3 linked regions of the Tamandua tetradactyla genome follow. The protein of the gene in region 1 purifies or fractionates together with the protein of each later gene. This does not show direct contact. Links are inferred from orthologs where the notes say so. Each region holds a gene or a part of one and is shown on either strand. Other genes may lie near its edges.

What was found. The genes of interacting proteins can lie anywhere in the genome.
Region 2: the proteins of SRC (region 1) and KDR purify together in Homo sapiens (co-immunoprecipitation; 5 studies listed by BioGRID and IntAct, with this or other methods). This does not show direct contact. The link is inferred for Tamandua tetradactyla from reciprocal best matches to the Homo sapiens genes SRC and KDR.
Region 3: the proteins of SRC (region 1) and RACK1 purify together in Homo sapiens (affinity purification with western blotting; 4 studies listed by BioGRID, with this or other methods). This does not show direct contact. The link is inferred for Tamandua tetradactyla from reciprocal best matches to the Homo sapiens genes SRC and RACK1.

Annotation. Positions count from the first base shown.
Region 1 is NC_135327.1:14,867,421-14,875,379, reverse strand, and holds the start of SRC (proto-oncogene tyrosine-protein kinase Src), read left to right. Parts: upstream 1-4,955; 5' UTR 4,956-5,107; intron 5,108-7,959. UniProt on the Homo sapiens protein: Non-receptor protein tyrosine kinase which is activated following engagement of many different classes of cellular receptors including immune response receptors, integrins and other adhesion receptors, receptor protein tyrosine kinases, G protein-coupled receptors as well as cytokine receptors.
Region 2 is NC_135345.1:55,464,954-55,472,216, reverse strand, and holds the start of KDR (vascular endothelial growth factor receptor 2), read left to right. Parts: upstream 1-4,252; 5' UTR 4,253-4,536; coding exon 4,537-4,603; intron 4,604-5,750; exon of another isoform or gene 5,751-5,770; intron 5,771-6,375; exon of another isoform or gene 6,376-6,394; intron 6,395-7,263. UniProt on the Homo sapiens protein: Tyrosine-protein kinase that acts as a cell-surface receptor for VEGFA, VEGFC and VEGFD. Plays an essential role in the regulation of angiogenesis, vascular development, vascular permeability, and embryonic hematopoiesis.
Region 3 is NC_135346.1:3,339,112-3,346,718, reverse strand, and holds the start of RACK1 (small ribosomal subunit protein RACK1), read left to right. Parts: upstream 1-4,596; 5' UTR 4,597-4,712; coding exon 4,713-4,821; intron 4,822-5,010; exon of another isoform or gene 5,011-5,078; intron 5,079-5,675; coding exon 5,676-5,847; intron 5,848-6,038; exon of another isoform or gene 6,039-6,116; intron 6,117-6,261; coding exon 6,262-6,409; intron 6,410-6,616; coding exon 6,617-6,712; intron 6,713-7,072; coding exon 7,073-7,183; intron 7,184-7,387; coding exon 7,388-7,528; intron 7,529-7,607. UniProt on the Homo sapiens protein: Scaffolding protein involved in the recruitment, assembly and/or regulation of a variety of signaling molecules. Interacts with a wide variety of proteins and plays a role in many cellular processes.

The DNA.
Region 1 (7,959 bases):
CGCCGTACAGCTCAGGCCAGGCCCGGGCCCTGCAGCTCTCCCTGCTCCCTCCTGGATATGCCTCCTGAGGTGGGGGTAACCCAGGAGGGCTTGCATTCTGCCTGGGTTTGCACTCAAGGCTCTGCCCTACCTCACTGGCGCCTCTAGGAGCCTCGGTGTCCTCTTCTGTGCAATGGGGAGAACAATGGCTCCGAGCTCCTGGAGCTGTGTCTAGACCAGTGCCCCTCACCGGGGCCCCAGTCCTGGGTGAGCTCTATCGCTGTGATTAGTTTTACAATAATTCTTTCAAGCTCTCTGATCGCAGACAATCTCGGCTCTGCCCGAGGTTTCTAACCCCCTCCAGTCTGGAATCAGATCTTTGGCTTCAGATTTCCTCCCGCCCTTTGCCCTCAAGGGCAGATCAAAGTCCCCGAATCCTTTCATCTTTTCTCACAAAACTTCTGGGATGTGGCTGAAGGAGGCCTGGGTGTGGGGGAAGGGGGCCTGGCTTTGCCTGTCAGTGACTCTGTGTGATTTCGGGAGACCATCTGTCCCTCTCTGGGCCTCTACCACAGCCTTAGGGGGTTGGGGTGAAGAGTCACTGAGTTTTTTGGCAGTTGACCTTTGCACCAGCCTAGGGATCTGCTGTCTTTTCTGCCTGTGACATCCCTGTTTCGTCTCCAGACTTTGGCACTTGCTCCTCAGGCTTCCTGGCTGGGCAGTAGCCAAAAGCCCCAGGCGAAGCAGCGGCAATCTGCAATCAGTGCTATCACGGGGATGTCCTCAGTCGGGCCCCACTTGCTGAGATGCACGTCTCCATCCCTCCCCGCTGGACACTGGAGGATGCGCTCACCTGCTCCTGGCTCCTTCTGACTCTCATGGGGCTGGTGATGCGTCCCCCCTGGCCTCACGCCCTGGGATACAGGCAGGTGCCCGTGTGCACACGCCCATGTAAGTCAAGAGCTCTGCCTCAGTCGGGTCCGCTGTGGCCTCCATCCGCACTGGGGCCTCATGTCTACCCTCCTTCTGCCCCTCAATCCATCCTCCACTCGGTGGCAGCCCCTGAAGGACACATCTCTCTGCACTCTCCTCAGGGCTCACCCCAACCCCCCTTCCCCTGGTTCCCAGCACATCCACTGTGTTGGGCTCCATCAGCCCCGCTCTGCTCGTAGTTCCAAACACTGCAGTGTTTCATACTGTTCCTTCTGCCTGGAACACCCTTCCAGTCCCATTTTCACCTGGCAGCCATTTCCTCGGGCTTCTCTTGCTGGATAACCCTCTCCTTTCACCAGCTGGGTTAGGGGCTCCTCTAGCCCCATGCTGGTCACACTTCCCAGCTTCTCCAGGCTGTGAGCTCCTCCAAACCTAGCCCAGACCCTGGTGTATAGTAGGTGCTCAATAAATACTGATTGAACGGAGGAAGGAGGAGTAAGGCTTAGCCAGGGTTTTGGGGGAGGGAACATTCCAGGTAGAGAGACCAGCAGGTGCCAAGGCCTCAGGGCACGATGGGGGAACAGCAAGGAGGCAGGCTTGGCGGAGCAAGGGAAGGAGTCCAGGGGCTGCATGTGAGGCCGGATGTGGCTGATGCACTGATGAATCAGACGTCTCTCTGTGAACCATGAAGTCCAGTGCCGTGGGAGGTGCCTAGCCCTTCCCCAGCCTCAGGCTGGAGCCTGCCCACCCCTCCACCCTATCCCCCAGCCCTGGGCTGGTGGCTACAGACAGACAACTCACAGCATACCATCTGGGGAATGACAGGGCTGGTCTGGAATTTCCCACTGAGTGCCTGTGATGGATCCAACCTCCTAGTAGATGTTCCAAGGGGCTGGGCGTGGCACGTAGATTGCCATTGGGCCCTGGGTGACATGTGGGCGGGACCCCTGACCTCATGTCACGGAAGGCTCTGGCCCATGGATCTGCCACCAGCCACATGGACCAGACCACACTGTCCATCCTACCCTCCCTTGGCTGTGGCTTGGATCAGGCTGCAGTGGGCGAAAGGGAAGAAGACAAAAAGTCCAGAGTCCACGGACTGCACACCACCAGCTCTCATCACCTCAACATCATCTGTCATCTGCTGGGTGCTCTGTGTTGGGAGATTGGCCCTGCTGGTGCCCCAGGCTTGGCCCCGGGCTGGGTATATAGTTGGTGGTCAGTAAATGTTTGCTGTCTATTGAGGATGATGGATAATTTGCTGGTGTTAAGCTATGAGTTGCTATTTTACTAACCAATAGACTATTTTAAGCAAAACAATGCTCAAAGAGACCCTTACATATGTCCAGGCCACACCAGCAACTCTCCCCTCAGCATACTCCTCAAGCTGGGAAGTTGGATTTTGCCCCCATTTTACTGGTGAGTAAACTGAGATCCAGAGAGGGCTGGGTCACATAGTCAGTGAATGAAAGGTCCGGAACTTTAACTCCCATCTGTGGATCCCAAGTCAGCATGTCCTCAAACAGCTGGGCCACGGTCCCTGCTGTCCGGGTGGCATCCCTGAGTGGACGTGGGGGTACACCTCCACCCCTCCAGCAGGAATGTGCAGGCAGCTCGTTCTGGAGACGGTGGCACTGACATAGGGCCTTGAAGGGTTGGGAAGCTGGAAATATGGGGCAAACATTTCTGACGGGGTCACAGTCTGAGCAAAAGGCCCAGAGAAACGGTTGAAACTAATGAGGGATCTAAACACTCTCAGCACTTCAGATACCCAATAATGAAACCATCGTACTGGCCACATCCTCCAAGGGCGCCTCTTGAGACCCTCAGCTGCTGAGCCGGGCTCTTGAAACCAGCGATGACTCCAGGTGGCAGCTGCGTCTATGCCTGCAGCACCAAGGCTTGTCCAAGTCAGCTGCCCCCTCTCACCCACGAGAGAGTGCAGGGCTATGAATAACGGTGACAGCCCCCACACACTGAGCACGCCTCACCTGGTTTCATCCTCATGCAAGCCCTCTGGGGGAAGCACTATCGTTTTGCAGATTGGCACAGTGCGTCTCAGAGAAATGGTATGCCCAAGGTCATGTAGGCGAGACGATGCAGTTAGGACCTGAACTCAGCTCCATAGGTGCAAAGCCTGTGCTTTTAAGCCCTCTGTCAGCATAGCCCCAGAAGAAGCCCAGAACTTTCTGTTAAACTCCTGGGGATGGATCCAGTGACACATTGGTAAGTATTTAACAACCTGCTCTCTCGGGTAAGAAACCTTGATTTGTAGCATTTGCCAATTTTCAGGGCGTAACTATTCCCACCATAGCTAATATCAAGCTACCGGCGTGACATCATTAAACATGGAGCTGGGAAGAGACGTACACCATTGGCTCTTGCCAGAGATGGACACAATTGGTAAGAACCAGCCTCTGCACACCACTGGATGAATATCCTACCTCTAGTCCAGTGTGGCAAAAGTAAAGCCTTTCAGCAATGTCTGAGGAGTGAATCAGGCCTGAGAAACCTGCTCCTCCAGCCAGGGGCCCACCAGGAGTTCGGGGAAGCTGCAATTAATCTTTAAAAGCGCAGCCATTTTTGCAGCCCAGGCTGGCTTCTGGCACTAACTCTGCTGCTGATTTGTGCTGGGACCTCGGCCACCCCCTACCCCTCTGGCCTCAGTTCACCAACCACAACAGCGACCATATTTTGAGCACTGCTGTGGCCACCTCACACTTAGTTCCGGGAGCCCTCGGTGGCCATGCTCAGTCCTGCCTTACAAGGAAGGGGACTGGGCTGGAGAAGGTAATGGGCTTGTACAAGGGCCCACTGCAGGTGGCAACCAGCTTAGATTTGCGCCCAGATCAGTCTGGCTTAAGGACTTGCTCATTCTTGGTCTCCTGGAAGCTATTTTATACCCTCAGGGCTTTGCGTCCCACATTCTAGGGCTCTCCCCAGCTCCTCTCAGCAGGGACCTCTTTCCGGGGGGAGAAGCCCATATCTGGTGACACTTTGATCTGGATGGGCCTTAGTTTCCCGTCTGTGAAATGGGAGAACTTTCAGAAGAGGAAAACAGTGGCAGGTATTTAAAACTGGATCCACTTGCCCCTGGTGCCATAATTCCAGGAGGTCAGGTGGGGAGCCAGTGGGAGTGATGGTGGGGGGTCTCCACTTGAAACAGGGCATGCTTGGAGCCTGGGCCAGGGGATGGGAGGGGTCAGGTGGGGTTGGAGAGTGGTTGGGGAGGCTTTGTGGCTTAAAGCAGAATTTCCTCAACGTCCCATTTCCTGCCCACTGCGTCCAGAGTTACTTAGCTTCTTTATTTACTTGGAAGTGTAACGGTCACGTAAATACCAGCTTCAGCCCCCTCCTAAGCGGTAGTATCATGAACTCCCTGGTCTGATGGGCTGCCATAGTTATAGTTTATTTTATACACATTAAAATGAATACAAATTTATTAAAAGTTTCTCCTCTCTGCACTGCCTCACCTGCCCAGGTCCCCACTTTCGGGAACAGTTCAAGGCAGGAGTCCAAGGCCTGGTTTCCTGTCTGGTGACCCCTTCTTGCCCTCAGTTTTGTCATCTGTAAAATGGGGATAATCATAGCACTGCCCCGCCCACCTTTTAGGAAAAGATCCTAGAGTCTCCTGGACCCTTGACATGGTGCCTGGCAAGAGATTGTGCTCCATTAGTGCCACTATTATTATCATTACCAATAATAACTGCGGGAGAGGAGGTCAGGAGGGTGGTAGGTAGGGTGGGTGGGTTGCGGGAATCAGGGAAGGCATTTTGCCCAGGGGGAGAATGGGGACCCTGTCACTGCACCGAGTGGGGGGCGTTCCTCTGTGCCCGAGGCCCCAGTCCACCCGGCTCCGCCACGACCCTGGCTTGGGCCGGCCATAGGTGTATCCCAGGTCACCGGCGGGAATCGGTCCCCGCGTGCTTCCTCCTTCCTCATCTCCCGGCGACCTGCCGGGCCCCTCCTCCGCGCTCGCGCTCCCTCCCCCTCTTCCCCTCCCCGGGCCACCGCCTCCTCGCCTCCTCCTCCTCCTCCCTTTCTCTTTCGGTCTGGCTCTCCCGGCCCGGAATCCATTCCGGCCTGGGAGCCGGAGCGGCCAGGCCGCTGTCTGTCCGACCCCGTGGCCGTGCGGCGGTCAGCCCTCCCGTGCGTCCGTCTGCCGGTGCGTGCGCCCGGCCGCCTGCCGGCCCAGGTGAGTGGCCCCCGCCTCTCCGCGGGCCCCCAACCCCGGCCGGCGTGGGGGAGCCGCCGCCCCGGGACCAGCCCGGCGTCGGTCGGCCGGGCCGCGGGGGGCCCCTGTCCCCCCTCCCGGGCCTCCCCGATCCCCCAGGCCGGGCCGCGGGGCCGGAGCGCACGGCGGGCGCGCGGGGACCTGCCGGCGCGGCCTTTTGTTAGGATGCCGCGGGGCGGGGGCGGGGCGGGGGCTGGGCGGGGGGCGCGGGGGTCCTGGGCGCGCAGGGACCCCCTTCCACGCACCCTCTCCCCGCGAGCCTTGCCCAGGGTCGGACGAGCGGGGCCCGAGCCTCCCGACCGGGTCTAGGCCAAATCTGAAATCTGAGCCTGTCGGCGCCGCCTCCGGCCCAGCTGCCCAGCCCGGAGCCCCCGGCCCAGGGTGGGGAGGTGAGGCCGCGGGAGGGGCTGCCGGGGACGGGGCACCGGGCCCTGGGCTCCGGGAGCCAGGACCTCCGGGTCCTCGTGGGGCCTGCGGTCAGGCCTGGGCCAGGCTAGGCTTGGTCCCGGCTGCCCCCAGCCCCCAGCCTCGCCCAGGGCAGGCCCAGCAGCCCACTGGCTGAGAAGTTGGCAGAAGTTTTGGGTGTCCTGCTGTCTGATGGGTCCATCTGCCTACCTGGACCAGGGATGAAGCTGAGCTGGGATGGGTCCTTGCCCAACTGTGTGTCTTCAGGCAAACTGCCTGCCCTCTCTGAGCCCGCATCCTCATCAGTGGCAGGTGGGCCTGGCTGCATTGCTGGGCTGGTGAGAGGATGGGAGATGTACAGAAGGGGCTCACCTCTGAGGTGTCAGTCCAACCTCTGGGACCTTCAGGCAGATCTGGGAGTGGGCAGAGCGTGTGTGGCCCTGGGCAAGGCTTCCTGGGCCTCAAGGGCTGACTGTGAATGGGGACAGTGGTCTCTGGGTCATCTGCCATGAAACCTGGTCCAGCCACGATGTCACGATGTCACTGGATGGGCCAGGCTGATCCTGGGGTGGGGGAGGGGCGGGGAGCACTGGCTGGGATACTTCTTGTCTCACTGGGTGACTTGGGCCACACACGCTTTGCCTCTCCAAGTCCCTGTATGCAAAACAGGGGTGCCAGGGGGTTCTATGAACTTCTGCACGTAGGTGCTCAATAAGTGAGCACTTTTCTCAATGAATGCTCTAAGAAAGGTGGGTGGGAGGGAGGTTGCTGACCCAATTGGGTCTCATATGCCCAGGAGAGTAGACTGGTCCTTGAAAATCTGCCTCATAACCTCTTGAGAAAGAAACACCCCAGCCTAGTCCTACCACCCAGCAGCTGTGTGACTTTAGGCGACTCAGTGCTCTCTCTGGCTCTGTTTTGCCAACTATAAAATGGGATGGCAGTTACGGCAGCCAGTGCCTTCTGTGAGATAGCAACTTTTATTTATCCTGTCTGCTGTTGGGGAAACTGAGGCTTAGAGGCGGAGAAGTGATTTGACCAAGGCCACACAACCGGGAACTGGGATTAGAACTCAGACCTTGAAGACCCCAGTCTGGCTGCCCTGGTACCCCTCCAGTGATGGGAGAGCAGGGGGTGCCTAGCACGGGGCCAGGCTCCTAGCAGTTTAGGGGAAGGCTTTGCCGAGGAGTGATTGAATGGAAGCCATGAGGCCCTTTTGGGCCTGCCAAGGTGATGTTGTCTTTCCACCCGCGGAAATGATTTATAGTGTGTCACTTCTATCAGCTGACTGACTGCCCAGGCCCTCCTGTGTGGCCCCTGGGCCTTTGCTCCTGAAGGCCTCCTGCCAGGGGTGCCTTCTCTGTAAGCTGCTTATCTGCCCATGCTCTTCAAGGCTTAGCTGACGGCCCACTCTGCTGGGAAGGACCCCCCACCCCCACCCCACCTCTCCCTGCCCCAGCCTCCTCCTGGAGCAGGAATGACCTCCGGTGCACTGCCTAGCTCCTGCTTTTGCTTGTTCCCTGATCGTGGCCTGGAGAGGAGGGCGTAAGGGGAGGTGTCTGGCTTCCCCAAGCTCCCCAGGGACCACGGAGGAGAGGGCTGCCGGGGCAAGCACCCCATCCTCCCGGTCCCTAGTTGACCCCACTTTCTCAAACCTTCCCAGATATAAGCACCCGTGACCCCATACTGAGCACCTACTATGAATTAGGAGCTTATGACTGAGGCTGAGCAGTGCTGTGATGGAGCTGGCAGTGGGAGCTGTGGGAGGCATCAGGAGGCTTCCAGGAGGTGGCGGGCCTGAGCTGAGCGGGCATCAGCAGTTCACCCAACAAAGCAGCAGAGACTGTTCTCTTTCTTCCTTTCTGCTCAGGCATCTCCCAGGTTTGGGGGAGAGATCAGCCTGGGTGGGTTCTTGCTGGGGGATTGTGAGCAAGTCCCTGGCGTCCCAGAAATTTGAGTCTGGAGGGGGAGCCAAATAGCAAACAAGTTGCCTAATAAATAAATAAATATACAAAACCACAGATTGTGATAAGGGCTGTGAGGGGAAGGCCTGGGGTGCAGAAGCATCTGGAAGGATACATGGAGAAGTTGGCCAGTTGTGGAGCTTGGGGAAGGGCGTGCCAGGCAGCAGGAACTGCATGTGCAAAGGCCCTGAGGTGGGGGAGTGTGGGCTGTTGAGGAGGAAAAATGGGAAAGCCTGTGATGCTGGAGCAGAGGGAATAAGGAGCAGATGAGAGGTAAAATAAGGGGGGTATGATCAGCAGGGCTGGATCACCAGGGCCTCGTGGGCCTTGTGGGCTTCGGGGAAGAGTTTGGTTTTCATGTTCCTGCAGGAGGCTAATTGGTGTCCCCTCTTTGCCCAGCCCCGTGCTAGGGGCCAGGCATACAGTGCTGCCCAAGGCACCCGG
Region 2 (7,263 bases), on another chromosome or scaffold:
GAACTACCCCTATGCTTATTTTTTATCTCCAAGTATGATTATTTCTACTTGGATTGTTATATTTATTTTTACGTGAAACACCTCAAGAAATTATGTGAAGGAATTTGGATAGGGAATATATGCATACATATTAATAGTAATTGAGATTTTGATGTTTCACAAAAATGGGGAGTTTCTTTTACAATTATTAGAACGTAAGACTTTATGAAGAAAACCTAATACCAATGAAAACATCCAAGGCAAGCATGGCTTTGTGATGACATGGTCATCTTTTTCATTAACATAAGAATATGTTCTAAGTAAAAAATGTAAGTTACACAGGGACTGAAATAAACTTGGGTGTTTAGAGACAGTAGACAACAAGAGATAAAGAATAGGTTCCTAATCTCTGAAGGCACATAGTCATGAGCATGGATGGGCTATGAAACTGAGTTGACATCTGCAAAGGTGGTTTAAGGCTCTGGGAAGTTATAAAATAAACAAATGTTGGGAATAAATGAAGTACACATGAGAAAATTTCATGCAAATATATAATCAATAAATGACGATATTTGAAAATAATGTCACTAAAAAAGAGTTGGTCTTATTGATATTTTTTTATTTGTAAAAATAATACATTCCTGCTTGAAAAATGTCATAGAAATGCAAGAAGTAAAAAGTTCAAATTCCCATCTATCTACCTCTTTGCATCAACCATTTCCCAGAGATAGGCATTTGTTGGGTGTGTATCCTACTAGCTATTGTCTACAAATTTTCTATTATGAATGTATATCTATGTATCTCATCTCTATTTGTAAATCTATTTCTAGATCTGTATTTTATGCCAAAGAAAGATAGGAAACACTTTGAACACCTGATATCCATTGTGGTGAAAACAGTTTTCGGGTGATGGGCTGTGTATGGAGAACATAAATAAGCCAGATAATTACAGGCCTTGTAACAAGTTCTTCTAAGAGATTAAACATCTATTAATAAATCCTTATTATCACCACTACCATAGGTATAAAGTATTTTACAGTTTACAGAGCACTCGTATGAGATTATCTCATTTGATTCTCATAGTAATCCTTGAAGTGAGCAAAGTAAGAGTTATTATTTTCATTTACAAATGAGAAAACTGATGTCCAATGTAATGAAAGGATTTGCTTAATATCACTCCAAATCCATGTTTCACCATATCAAGTCTGGCACTGGAAAAGTCAGTGGTATTATATTAAATGCACCAAGCATCATTTTGATTATTGTTACTTAAAACAAGAATTTTTTTCTATCATAGAAACATGCAAAAGTAGAGGATAGTAAAATGAACCTTTATGTATCTATCATCCAGCTTTCACTATTATTAACCATTTGCCAATTTTCATATATATTTTTGAATATATGGAGTCTAATGTGCCGGTGATGGTCGTGGAACCACATTTGGGATATATGAGGTGTAATTTGTTCAGTGGGCTTTGGTGATATACACAATGTATTGTGTGCACAAATGCCTAGAAGTAGCTGGAGATACGCAGAACCTTGTTATCATATTAAATTTGCTTGGGCTGTTGTGATGCCTGCTCATTTATGCTCTTATCACCTTTGGTTTCACCATTGTAACCCCAGTTCCTGACACAGTGTTGTTGAATGAATGTGTTTTATTTGCAGTTTCAATTTAGACAGCATGAAGTGAAGAAGATCGTGTATAGTAGTATAACCAACCTCTGCAGAATGCTTCTTGGTGTGTTTCAGGTGCTAATTATAGCTACGATCTGTGCGTACCAGGTGCTAGGTCCTATTCTAAGTGCCTTCATGCAGTAACTCATCTGATTCTGACAAAAACCCTGTGAAGAAAAAACCATTATGATCTTTTATATTTTGTAGGTAAGTAACCAGTAATTTGGTCAAATCACATGGATAGGAAGTGGGAGATCTTGGAGTCAAAGTCCAGGCAGTGTGGCCCCAGGATCTGTGCACTTAGCCACCTCTGTTTGTTGCTCCTGTGCAATAACGTGTCTGAATATCATCTACGGGGCATTGAACACATTTGGGGTATTTGGTAGGTGGTGGTCCTACCTGTACTCCTGGATCAACTCACAAAATCACTCCTTTGCACTGGTGCCAGAGAATGGGAGAGGGTTGCACATGGAACAGAACTTTTAATTTATTTTAAACAGACTTTCTCATTTTTCATGAACACAAGGCACTTCTAAGTGCTGTGTAGGAGGGAATGTGGCAGAATGATTTCATTGAGACCCTGCCAATTTCTGGTCTTGCAACCATCAAAGACGCATCATTTCCTCAAAGACTTCTAAAGGGGGCTATTACCATGTGCCTGCAGGTTCTGGTTTGCATTTGGAGGAGACACTATCTTCCTAAGTGAGACATGGAAAAGGAAGTGTCACAAATTGTAAATAAGGTTAAGAGGCTGAGAGAGAACAATTGTTTGGACGTAAAGATGGAGAAAAATTTTCTCCAAACCAGGTACCATCTCTCTCTCTCTCTTGGCTGATTCTTTCAGAGTCCATCTTGTTTTACTTGCTAAATTTATTAGTGGGAAGAACGGAATTTTTTAAAGAATTTTCCCACAACTGCCCAAGCATGAAAACAAAATAAAAACCTCCTAGATAAATATTAGTACATCTATTCAATGTAACACCATTCCACCATTAAAAAGAATGAGATGCAGCTCTAAGGGTTAATAGAGAATGCTCTCCAAGGTATACTTTTATAAAGTGAAAACAGTCAAGGCTCAAAACAGCATTTGTACCAATGCTATCATTTATGGAAAAAAAAGGGTGATTAATCTACATATGTTCATATGTGCATAGAATTTGCTTGGAAAAAGGAAACCAGTTAAAAAGCTTGCCATTGGTGAAGGACGGTCTTTTCACTCTAAGCCTTTTTGTATTTTTCAAAATACTTTTAACCATATATACTAGTTATATTTCAAAAAAAGTTAAAATATTTCGATTGTCAACTTGGAAATAGAAGAGCAAGCAAATATTTTTAAAAAGTGGAAGAAAAGCAACATTTTAATTGTGTTTTTCAGGAGGAGGGTTTGGGACCAGATGTAGGGTCAAACAGTAATTCTACCTCTCCATCTCGCTGAAGGATGGTCCTTTCAGTTCCCATTCCTGGGAAGTAAGAGGCAGAGGGATTAGGGAGATCTTGATTTAATGAAGTTAGGGGGCATTTCATGTCACTCCCCAGGTGTGGGAAGAGATGGATAGAAAACAAGAAGGAACAATGAGGGCGGAAAAGAATGGTAGCTTCCCTCCAACCATCCAAGAAATGTACATCTGTGGTGAGAGTCGTGAGCTTTGTCCATGGAGTGTCCAGAGTACCTACCTAGCTAGGAACTTTCACTTAATTGCTCTCAGCAGAGGCTGGCCTGCTATACTTCCTTTCCCTCGGCCTCAGGGTATCTTGGCTTGGAAGTTCTCCTTTGAAAAGGGGCCTGGCCAAGGACCCAAGAAGAGTCACGCTGGGGACTGGCCGGTTAACAGGGTGGACAAAAGCCCTTTCTCAAGGAGAACCTTACGAGAGAGACGGGTGCCCCTCACGCCTTAGGTCCACCCAAGCTGGGTACCTCCACCTCCTGTGAGCCCTGATGTAGGTTTCTGGCCTGGAGCTAGGCAGGACCAAACGTGATGCTTGCAAGCTTAAATGCCTTCTGGGGCTCCGCAGTTAACTTCAAAATACTTGAAGTCGCCAGGTATAAGAGGAAATGGCAGGAACTTTTTGACTAGGAAAATGTATTTTCTGACTAACAGCATTCATATCCAGACTTTTAAACTGTGCAACTGTGCTGGCCAAACAAAATATTTCTAACTGGCTGGAGTCAGTGCCAGTTTGCGACCCCGGCTTAATATCCGCTTCTGGCTGCTTGCTCCAAACTGCGCTCAACCTCAGCTGGTCTCGCAGTTAGTTTAGAAGCGCGCTACAGCGCAAGGGTCTCGAACTTTGACGCTCGGAGCCGGTTACTGGCTTCATGTTACTTCCACCAGAAATGGAGTTGTCGCGCCCAGGACATTCTCTCCCGGGCGACTCGAGGTCTGCGTAGTCCTGTGCAGGTTGGGAGGGGAGCTGTAGTGGGCGTGGCGAGCCCGGGATCCCAGCGAGCGAGCCGGGGGAACACCAGATCCTGCGAGGTGAGGGGCGGGGCCGACAACAGAGGGGCGCCCCCCCCCAGATCCCGCCCTACCTGGCCCCGCCCCCCGCGCTCTAGAGTTTCGGCCCCAGCTCGCACCCGGCACTGAGTCCTAAGACACCGCAGAGCAGGCGGTGTTCTGCCGCTGCGTTCTCTCCACCTGCACAGGGCGTAACTGGCGTGCTGCAGAAAGCTCAGCCGGTCCCGCAGGCGGGATATTCTTTCCACCAGCTCCCGCACAGGTCTTGCCAGCCGCGCGGGGAGCCGGGGCATCCTCGCCGAGTGCGCTTCGGGGTCCTGCTCTGCGGCGCGCGTCCCGGCTCCGCGCTTTGGTGGCCGGGCAGGCCCCGGGCAAGAGAACCGACTCCCGAGTTCTGGGCACCGCGCTGGGCTCGAGGTGCAGGATGAAGAACAAGGCGCTGCTGACCATCGTGCTGTGTCTGTGCTTGGAGACCCGGGCTGTCCCCGTGGGTAAGGACCCCACTCCATGGGAGGGAGCCGAGAGGTCGGGTGCGGGTGGGTGGATGCGGATGCGGGGAGGATCTGGAGACCGATCTAAGTTTGAATCATAGAGCTGGAGAGTTGGGAGAAACTGACACATTTGTGCTGTTCCTTTTACCCAGCGGGGAGATAGACTCACAGACTGGCCCAAGATTGCCCAGCGAGGTGGTCTCCCGAGCTCTAGCGGTGTCTTTTCCAAGGCTCTGGTGTCTGACCGGGACCTCGGCTGGAGCGTGTACTGCGGGGCCGACGCACCCTCGGGCTCCTTGGCGGCGGGGCGGGAAGGCGCCAGGGGCTGACTGGCAGAAGTTACCCCGGCAGGCGGGAACACACAGTGAGAAGCTGTCCGACTGTGCGAACCGTTCTGGGGGGGACCCCGGCGGGCTTGCCAGTCCGGGAAGGAAGCCTTGCTAGGGGAGTAAGTCCTGCGGTACAGCTCACACAGTGCCCTCCGCTCTACCTCGGTGGGAGTGAAACGGGGCCACCGGCTGCCTGTTCCCTCTTCTCTCGGACAGGCACAGCCACTGTATGAGGTGGCGGGGTCCGGGAAGAGGGAAATTTTTACTCTCCATGGAGCAGGACGCCGCTCTTCTTGCAGAAAGGGGTGGGGTGTTGGGGTCTTGGTCCCGGACCCTGTCAGCTTCCCCAAGTGACTAAGCGACAACCCCCTTCCTAGGTAAAGCAGTGTTAACGTCTTTCTAAGCATTTTGGCTCCTAGGTAAGCGCAGGGTCTACCCTGTACCCAGATTTAGCGCCACTTAACATTGCGGTCCCCTTCTAGATTAGGAACCCATAACGTGCTGGATGCAATAGCTGTGTGTGTGTGTGTGTGTGTGTGTGTGTGTGTGTGTGTGTGTGTGTGCGCGCGCGCGCGCGCGCGCCCAGTTGATATTCTTTCTCCATAGCCACAGTTTACTGAGTCCCAGATTCTGTGTCTTGGAAGAGAAGGGGAGAGGGCGGAGAAAAGCAAAATCAGATGATCCAGGGACCCAACTCCTACAGAATGAATCATGTGCCCCTTATGTTGGGGTGACCACTGATGTACTTTCTTACCTCTTTTTTGAAAGGGAGAGAAAATTACTTTTAAGTGCCATCTTATACTTTGTATCAGCCAGTGCTGGAGAAATCGTGAATAACGTATGTACAAAACTTTTTTTTTTTTTTAATTTTCTATTATTTTGAAATTCTGCCTCTTTGGATTTGGGGAACACTGGCTACCCCATCTCTACAGTCTGGGCTGGCAGAATGCTGATGTTTTACAATTCTTTTCCCCACTCAGTTCCCCTCTTCTGGTGAGGTTCCTGTGAGCTCTGTTAGATGGGCATCCTGAAGCTTGTTAAAATGTACCCTCCGTTGGTGCGGTCTCTTTTGGGGGCAGATTGGGAGAAAGAGAAACCAATAATGCAACTGTTTTGATAGAAAAAATTGATAAAATGTCTTTTTGAAGTAAAGAACCAGTCCCTCTAAAAATAATAATAATAATAATTCAGGGGAAAAAATTCTTATAACGATAGAAAAAAAACACACTTAAAGAAGGCACGAGCTCAGTACTAAGATCATCTGTCCATGGTTATTGAATTTTCTTAATCGTGACTTACTTGGTTCTCCAAGCTTAGCTGTGTCACGGCCACTCATTTGTCCCTGACAAGGCCTCTCTCTCCCCCCTTATGGGAAGAGAATGAAGATCTGGAGCTTGTGGTTGGTCTGTAGCCCATAAAGAAGTGAGTTGCTTTTAAGCCTGGGGTGTTTCATAGCACAGCTGTAAGTAACTGCTGAATATAATGGTGGGGTTGCCCTTTTGGAGTGTGTGACTTACTTAATTGGATTGGGCTATAATTGGTGCCATCAAATTCTAGAGACAGAGGCACTGTTGTTTTTCCTTTCTGTCTCGAAGCTGGGGAGGGTAATAGTGCACAATTTAATTAATATGGGTTATGGGATTTGAACATAGAAGGGCTTTTTATTGAGCATATGTATCTCTTATAGCCATTTCTGTAGGATATTTTCTGAAGAATAGGACTCAAACTTGCCAAGGAAAAATGAATGAAAGTTAATGGAGCAAAGAAAAAGAAAAAACTTGAGTGTTGGTCTACAGATAAGAACTTGAAGTTATCATTATTGCTGGCCTTGTTGAATAGATTTTTGTTGTAGACAGGTCTCTAGAACAGTACAGTGTTGTCTTAACTTCTTATAGAAAAATGTCATGGAAAAGGTTTTTTCTCTCTCTTTTTAAATTTGTTTTCTTTTTTTTTTTGAATACTCTGGGGACTTTTTAAAAATTATTTTTGTATAGGAAGATGTGTCAAGAATGTGAGATGATCTGTGGCAATAATATATAAAAGATCTTCAAAATTCTCTTATTTTGATGGGGGGAAGGCTGTCATAGCTTATTTAGAGCCTTGATACTACTCCCATTTTATTCTCACACAAATGTGCCCAAATAATGAATTATTTCCTATTTGAATTATCATGTGAGTTGTATTCAGTTGTTGTTATTGACATTTTTCTCAAGCTCGCATTTCCCAGTCAAATTTGAAACTTTTGCTCATTCAGATGAAATGTTTTCATTTTCATTTTCTTTGGAAAATGGGCTCCCTTATTGGAAGGCTTTTTTTCTTTTGCTTTTAAAC
Region 3 (7,607 bases), on another chromosome or scaffold:
ACTGACACAATTAATTCAGAATGTACGAACAGACATGGAAAACCTCATCAAAAACCAAATCAATGAATTGAGGGAGGATATAAAGAAGGCAAGGAAAGAACAAAAAGAAGAAACTGAAAGTCTGAAAAAACAAATCACAGAACTTATGGGAATGAAAGACACAGTAGAAGAGATGAAAAAAACAATGGAAACCTACAATGGTAGATTTCAAGAGACAGAACATAGGATTTCAAAACTGGAGGACGGAACATCTGAAATCCGACAAGAAACAGAAACTATAGGGAAAAAAAAAAGGAAAAATATGATCAGGGACTCAGGGAATTGAAAGACAATATGAAGCTCATGAATATATGTGTTGTGGGTATCCCAGAAGGAGAAGGGAAGGGAAAAGGAGGAGAAAAACTAATGGAGTAAATTATCACTGAAAATTTCCCAACTCTTATGAAAGACTTAAAATTACAGATCCAAGAAGGGCAGCGTACCCCAAAGAGAATAGATCCAAATAGACATATTCCAAGACATTTACTAATCAGAATGTCAGAGGTCAAAGAGAAAGAGAGGATCTTGAAAGCAGCAAGAGAAAAGCAATCCATCACATTCAAGGGAAGCCCAATAAGACTATGCACAGATTTCTCAACAGAAACCATGGAGGTGAGAAGACAGTGGGATAATATATTTAAATTATTAAAAGATAAAAACTGCCAACCAAGAATTCTATATCCAGCAAAACTGTTCTTCAAAAATGAGGGAGAAATTAAAACATTTTCAGACAAAAAACCACTGAGAGAATTTGTGACCAAGAGACCAGCTCTGCAAGAAATACTAAAGGGAACACTAGAGACAGATATGAAGACAGAAGAGAGAGGCATGGAGAAGAGTGTAGAAATGAAGACTATGAGTAAAAGTAAAAAGAAGGAAAATTAGATATGACATATAAAATCCAGAAGGCAAAATAGTAGAAGAAAGTACTACCCATGCAGTAATAACACTGAATATTAATGGTTAAACTCTCCAATCAAAAGACACACTCTGGCAGAATGGATTAAAAAACAGGACCCATCTATATGCTGTCTCTACTCAAAGGACACAAGGCCAAGGACACAAATGGACATTTACACACCAATATTTATAGCAAAATTATTAACAATTACCAAGAGATGGAAACAGCCAAAATGTCCATCAACAGACAGTTGACTAAACAAACTGTGACATTTACATAAGATGGAATATTATGCAGCTGTACGACAAAATAAAGTTATGAAGTATGTAACAACATGAATGGACCTTAAGGACATTATGCTGAGTGTGATTAGCCAGAAACGAAAGGACAAATACTGTATGGTCTCACTGATATGAACTGACATTAGTGAATAAACTTGGAATATTTCCTTGGTAACAGAGACCATCAGGAGATAGAAATAGGGTGAGATATTGGGTAATTGGAGCTGAAGGAATACAGATTGTGCAACAGGACTGAATATAAAAACTCAGAAATGGACAGCACAATACTACCTAACTGTAATGTAATTATGTTAAAACACTGAATGAAGCTGCATGTGAGAATGACAGAGGGAGGAGGGCTGGGGACATAAATAAAATCAGAAAGAAAGATAGATGTTAAAGATCGAGATGATATAATCTTAGGAATGCCTAGAGTGTATAATAATAGTGAAATGTACAATGTACAAATTTTAAAAATGTTTTTGCATGAGGAAGAACAAAGGAACGTCACTATTGCAGGGTGCTGAAAACAGATGATAATACTTAAAAATATCACCTTATGTGTGAGACTAAAGCAAAAAATGTTTGTTACAAAATTTATATTTCGACTAGAGCATTTCCTAATATAACTCGTGTAGATAGTTTGATTGAATGTCATAAGTACTTGGAATCTCAGGTAGGACATGAGATTTCGTTGGTTTGTCCAGAGTGATGCCCCGATGAATCCCAGAGTGATTTGATCAGTGACTGGAAATGTATTTGCAAGCCCCCTTCGGGGAATGGTGAGAGTGGGGAGAAATTCAACTTCCCCAAGTTGAATTCTTGATATTCTCACAAGCAGTGTGGACAACCAAAGCCATAGGCTGAGCCCCCAGTCTTGGGGTGTGTTCATATGAAACTTAACCCCACAAAGGATAGGTCAAGTCTGCTTAAAATTTAGGCCTAAGAGTCACCCCCAAGAGAGCCTCTTTTGTTGCTCAGATGTGGTCTCTCTCTCCAGCCAACATGACGAGCAGTCTCACCACCCTCCCCCTCTCTGCATGGGACATGACTCCCAGAGGTGTGGACCTTCCTGGCAACGTGGGACAGAGATCCTGGAATGACCTGAGACTCAGCATCAAGGGACTGGGAAAACCCTAGAATAAGCTGAGAATTAACATCAAGGGATTGAGAGAACCTTCTCGACCAAAGGGGGAAGAATGAAATGAGACTAAGTGTCAATGGCTGAGAGATTCCAAACAGAGTTGAGAGGTTATCCTGGAGGTTATTCTTATTCATTAAGTAGATATCACCTTGTTGTTCAAGACGTAGCGGAGAGGCAGGAGGGAACTGCCTGAAAATGTAGAGCTGTGTTCCAGTAGCCATGTTTCTTGATGATGATTGAACAATGATATAGTTTTCACAATGAGACTCTGTGAATGTGAAAACCTTGTGTCTGATGCCCCTTTTAGCTACTATAGCAACAGAAGAGTAGAACATATGGAATAAAAATAAATAATAGGGGGAACAAATGTTAAAACAAATTTAGTTTGAAATGCTAGTGGTAAATGAAAGCGAGGGGTAAGGGGTATGGTATGTATAATTTTTTTTCTCTGTTATCGTTTTATTTCTTTTTCTGTTGTCTTTTTATTTCTTTTTCCAGATCGATGCAAATGTTCTAAGAAATGATGAACATGCAACTATATGATGATATTAAGAATTACCGATTGTATATGTAGAATGGAATGATATCTTAATGTTTTGTTTAATTTTTTTAATTAATAAAAAAAGTTAAAAAATAAATAAAAATAAAAAAGGGACTCTCTCCAAAATGTTTCCTTTTTAAAGGATTCCAATGAACTAATCAAGACCCACCTGGAATAAGTACAGTCACAACTCCATGGAAGCCATCTAATCAAAAGTTACTACCCACAATTGGGAGGGTCACAGCTCCATGGAAACAATCAAAACGCTCTCACCCAGCAATACTGAATGAGAATTAAAGGACATGGCTTTTCTGGGGTCCACCACAGATTCAAACCAGCACAGGCCTCCTCCATTGTGAATCCCAAACACTGCCGCCATGAACCCCAGGGTACGATGTCCATTCCTGTACCCACACTCAGTTCCTCCAGGTATATATTGAGCAATAGCATTGAAGGATCATATGGCAACCCCACCCCTAGCCTCCTGTGGAACCACCAGTTATATTCCTTTGTTAAACCCTATCTTCTCTGTTATAATTCCTCCTTCTCCTTTGATCTTTCTTCCAGTCTTTAAGGGTATTTGGGCTAAGCCCATTCTAACTTTTTCATGTTGGAAAAGGCTGTCAATAATATGGGACATGGGGATAGAACTAGTCGATGTTCTGGAGAGGCTAGGCTCTCTGATTTCAGGACTTATCTGGCGTAGGAACCAGGAGGGTGTAGGTTTCTGGAAAGTAATCTCAGTTAGAGCCCTAGGTGTTCTTTAGGGTAAACAGGAATGGTTTTGGTTTGGGTTTGGCATACCATGGCAATTAGCTATATCTAGCAGAAATTTGCATAAGAGTAGTGTTCGGAATAGCCTCTTAACTCTATTTCAACACTCTTAGTCACTGATATTTTATTTTGTTACATTTCTTGTCCCCCTTTTGGTCAGGAAGGCATTGCTGATCCCATGTGCTAGGGCCAGGCTCATCCCTAGGAGTCATGTCCCACCTTGTCAGGGAGACTCACCCCTGGATGTCATGCCCCACATAGAGGAGAGGGTAATGAGTTTACTCACAGAGTTTAGGAGATGTATTTTTTTTTAAGTTGTTTTATTCACACACCATACAAGCTAACCAACATGGGCAATCAATGGCTCACAGTATACTTTCAGAGTTGTACGTTCGTCAACACAATTTTGGAGCATTTTCATTACTGCTAAAAAGGAAAAAAAAATCCATGCCCTTTTGAGACCCCTATGATTGACACTTAGCTTCAGTGTGGTACCTTTCTCACAACTCATGGAAGAATCGTAATTACTGCTAACTATAGCGCATAATTTGCATCGGGTGTATTTTTTCCGTTTATGCCACCCTATTCTTAACTCTTTGTAACAGTGACTTTCTTATTCATGGAAAAACATTCTTCTATTTATATCATTAATCAAGTCATCGTCCACAACTGTGTGTTTTACAATCCCATGTTTAGGGTCATGTGTGGCACTACAAGGAAACCTAGAGGATGAAACAAGAGGAGCCCTTTCAAACCCTTAGTCGCGTTAGCTTCAGAAACTACTTGTACGGCTCTGTCAAATTATGGAGGGAACCATGATGCCCTGTGCTCTAAATGGCGCCGCCATCTTTGACGGAAGTGACTCGCGGGAGCCGCCATTTTGGCCGGGCGGGAGGTTATTTCCGGTTCCGGTGGCGCGGTGCTCTTCCTTTTTCACGGCGGGGCAGTGGCTGTCTCGGTTGTGGTTCTCGGCTCTCCGGACCATCCGGTGCCATCCTCGTCGCTGCGGCGACCTCGACACCCGCCGCCGCCATGACTGAGCAGATGACTCTCCGTGGCACCCTGAAGGGCCACAACGGCTGGGTGACCCAGATCGCTACTACTCCGCAGTTCCCGGACATGATCCTGTCAGCTTCGCGAGGTACGAGCTGAGGTGCGGGGGCCGGGTGGGGACGGCGTTCGCTCGCGGCGGACCCAGGGCCCCACTCCGTCCGGTGTAACTCCGCGCGCCGCCCGCGTTTTGCAGAGGGGGACGTGACTCGGCCCTTGGCCTGCGGGAGCATTGGCGGGGGTGGGGGGTGTCCCATTTCCTGTCCCTCGGGGCCCGGGCGGAGCGGTGATGATCCCAACATGCCATCTGAGCGCCCGTGCTGAGACCCAGAGGCTGTTTCTGAGCTGCCGCCGGGCCCTGCTAGGGAGGGGTGGGCTCACAGGGGCCTCGTGCCCGTCCGCCCTGCCCTTTGCCCCCTCGGCCCTCCTTGGCTTTTGCCCTCCCTGTGGGCCCGCAGCGTCGGGGGCTTCCCGTGCCTTCTGAGAGCGCCCAGGTGGTTAGGAGGCAGCTGGGACTCGACCTGCTGCTGGTGCTTAGTGGTGAGCCTTAGTGCCGGGCACGCGCGTGCAGGAAAGCCTGCGGGCTGGCAGCGCCCGAGCAGCATTTCCAGCGGTTGCAGAAAGGTCCACAAGTCGTTAGAGCTCAGACCAGATAGGAGATAAATGTCTTAATGGGTTCGGGTCCCAGAAAAGGACATCCGTCGTCGCATTCGGAGTTCTGTACACCTGACGGAATCTCATGCACAGCTTGGCCTTACTCTGGGTTAGTGAACTTGTCTTGGCTTGCGGACTCCCTTCCCCCTCACCTGACTCTAATTTGTCATTTTGTGAGCCCTCTGTGACCTTGAGATGTCCGGGTTAGCCCGTAGGTCAGTGAGGAGGCTGGAGACCGGCAGGATGGCGAGGATTGAGGCGGCTGAGTGTCCATTTCGGTTTTCTCTCTAGACAAGACCATCATCATGTGGAAGCTGACCAGAGACGAGACCAACTATGGTATTCCCCAGCGTGCTCTGCGGGGTCACTCTCACTTTGTCAGTGATGTGGTCATCTCCTCGGATGGCCAGTTTGCCCTCTCAGGCTCCTGGGATGGAACCCTGCGCCTCTGGGATCTCACAACGCAAGTAGCTGCTCACTTAGACCTGGGGCCTTGGGGAAGAGCTGGGCAAAGTGAAGTAGAGGTGGTAGGGAGAAGTGGGTAGAGTAAAGGAGGTCATGTCGGGGTTACTCACCTGAGTCTTGCTGGGGAGCGGTCTGAGTATCTTGGCCTGGCACCTCGGTGTGGTTGGGCACGTGGCAGGGGTCATGGAGGACCCTGGTGATGACAGACGACATTGTCCACCTATCCCCATGGGGCATGAGGACATGTCCTGCAATTCTGAGGGGGTTCTCTCGCATAGACTCAGCCAGGGACTTGTGGTCGGGACTGTGTGTGGCATTGGGGGGTAATTCACCACTGAGACAGGACATGACGAAACTGTGGAGAGACCGTTTGCAGGCTCTGCTTAGAGAGTGACCATGTCCTCCCTCCCAGGGGCACCACCACACGCCGGTTTGTAGGCCACACTAAGGATGTGCTGAGTGTGGCTTTCTCCTCTGACAACCGGCAGATTGTCTCTGGCTCCCGAGACAAGACCATCAAGCTGTGGAACACTTTGGGAGTCTGCAAGTACACAGTCCAGGTAAAGCAGAGGCATTGGTCGGGAGCCTGGTGCAGGTGTTGGAGCTCCTCCTCTTCCATTTCTCCTTGTCTTATGCCAGGAGCCTAAAAGTTCTGGGGAGGAGGATATAAGGCTGCCGACACCCACCCCACACGGCTGAGGGAAGGCTGGGGCAGTTAGAATTTTATGTCATGGGATGGTTTCCCTTTGCTTCCTTTCCATCTGTAGGATGAGAGCCACTCAGAGTGGGTGTCTTGTGTCCGCTTCTCGCCCAACAGCAGCAACCCCATCATCGTTTCCTGCGGCTGGGACAAGCTGGTCAAGGTGCGCTTGGGGCCAGGGGACAGGTGGGTGTGGGCTCCAGCTCTGAATACTTTGTAGGTTCCTTTAATTGACTTTTTTTCCTTTGGCTGTTGTTTTTCCAATTCCGGCCATAAATTTCTGGTATTAATAGCAAGAGGGGAAAAGTATGGAGTAGTTTGAGCCCAGAGCCTTTGTAAGACTCCACACAGCATTTAGTAACTGTTTTAAAACCCAGTTGTCTTTAAGTGGCCAAGAGAAATTCTTCAACCTCTTTTTACTGATAAATGATGGTCATTCCTCCCAGGAATGTTTTCAAATAAGGTATCATGTTAGGCCCCAAGCCGGCTTCCTCACCTGTGGGTCCTCTGCCCCTCTTTTTAGGTATGGAACCTGGCTAACTGTAAGCTGAAGACCAACCATATTGGCCACACGGGCTACCTGAACACTGTCACTGTCTCTCCAGATGGATCCCTCTGTGCTTCTGGAGGCAAGGTATTCAGGAGCCAGGGGCCTCCTACTCTTAAAGTGGGGGGTGGGGGAGGCTGAACATGCCTTTCGCAGGGGACACTTTGAGGCGTTTGCTTACAGGAAGCTTGGGAAAGGGGGTAGGGGGGCTTAAGAGTTGATTAGGACAAAACATTGGGAAATGGAGTTGATTTCCGGGAACAGTCACAGTGACCCAGTGGTGTCTTCCAGGATGGCCAGGCCATGCTGTGGGACCTAAACGAAGGCAAGCACCTCTACACGCTGGACGGCGGGGATATCATCAATGCCCTCTGCTTCAGCCCCAACCGCTACTGGCTCTGTGCTGCCACGGGCCCCAGCATCAAGATCTGGGTGAGTGTGAATACAGTTCAGACTGAGTGCCTGGCTGTACTTTGGAAGTCCTGCCAGTGTGATGGTTACACACATGGTA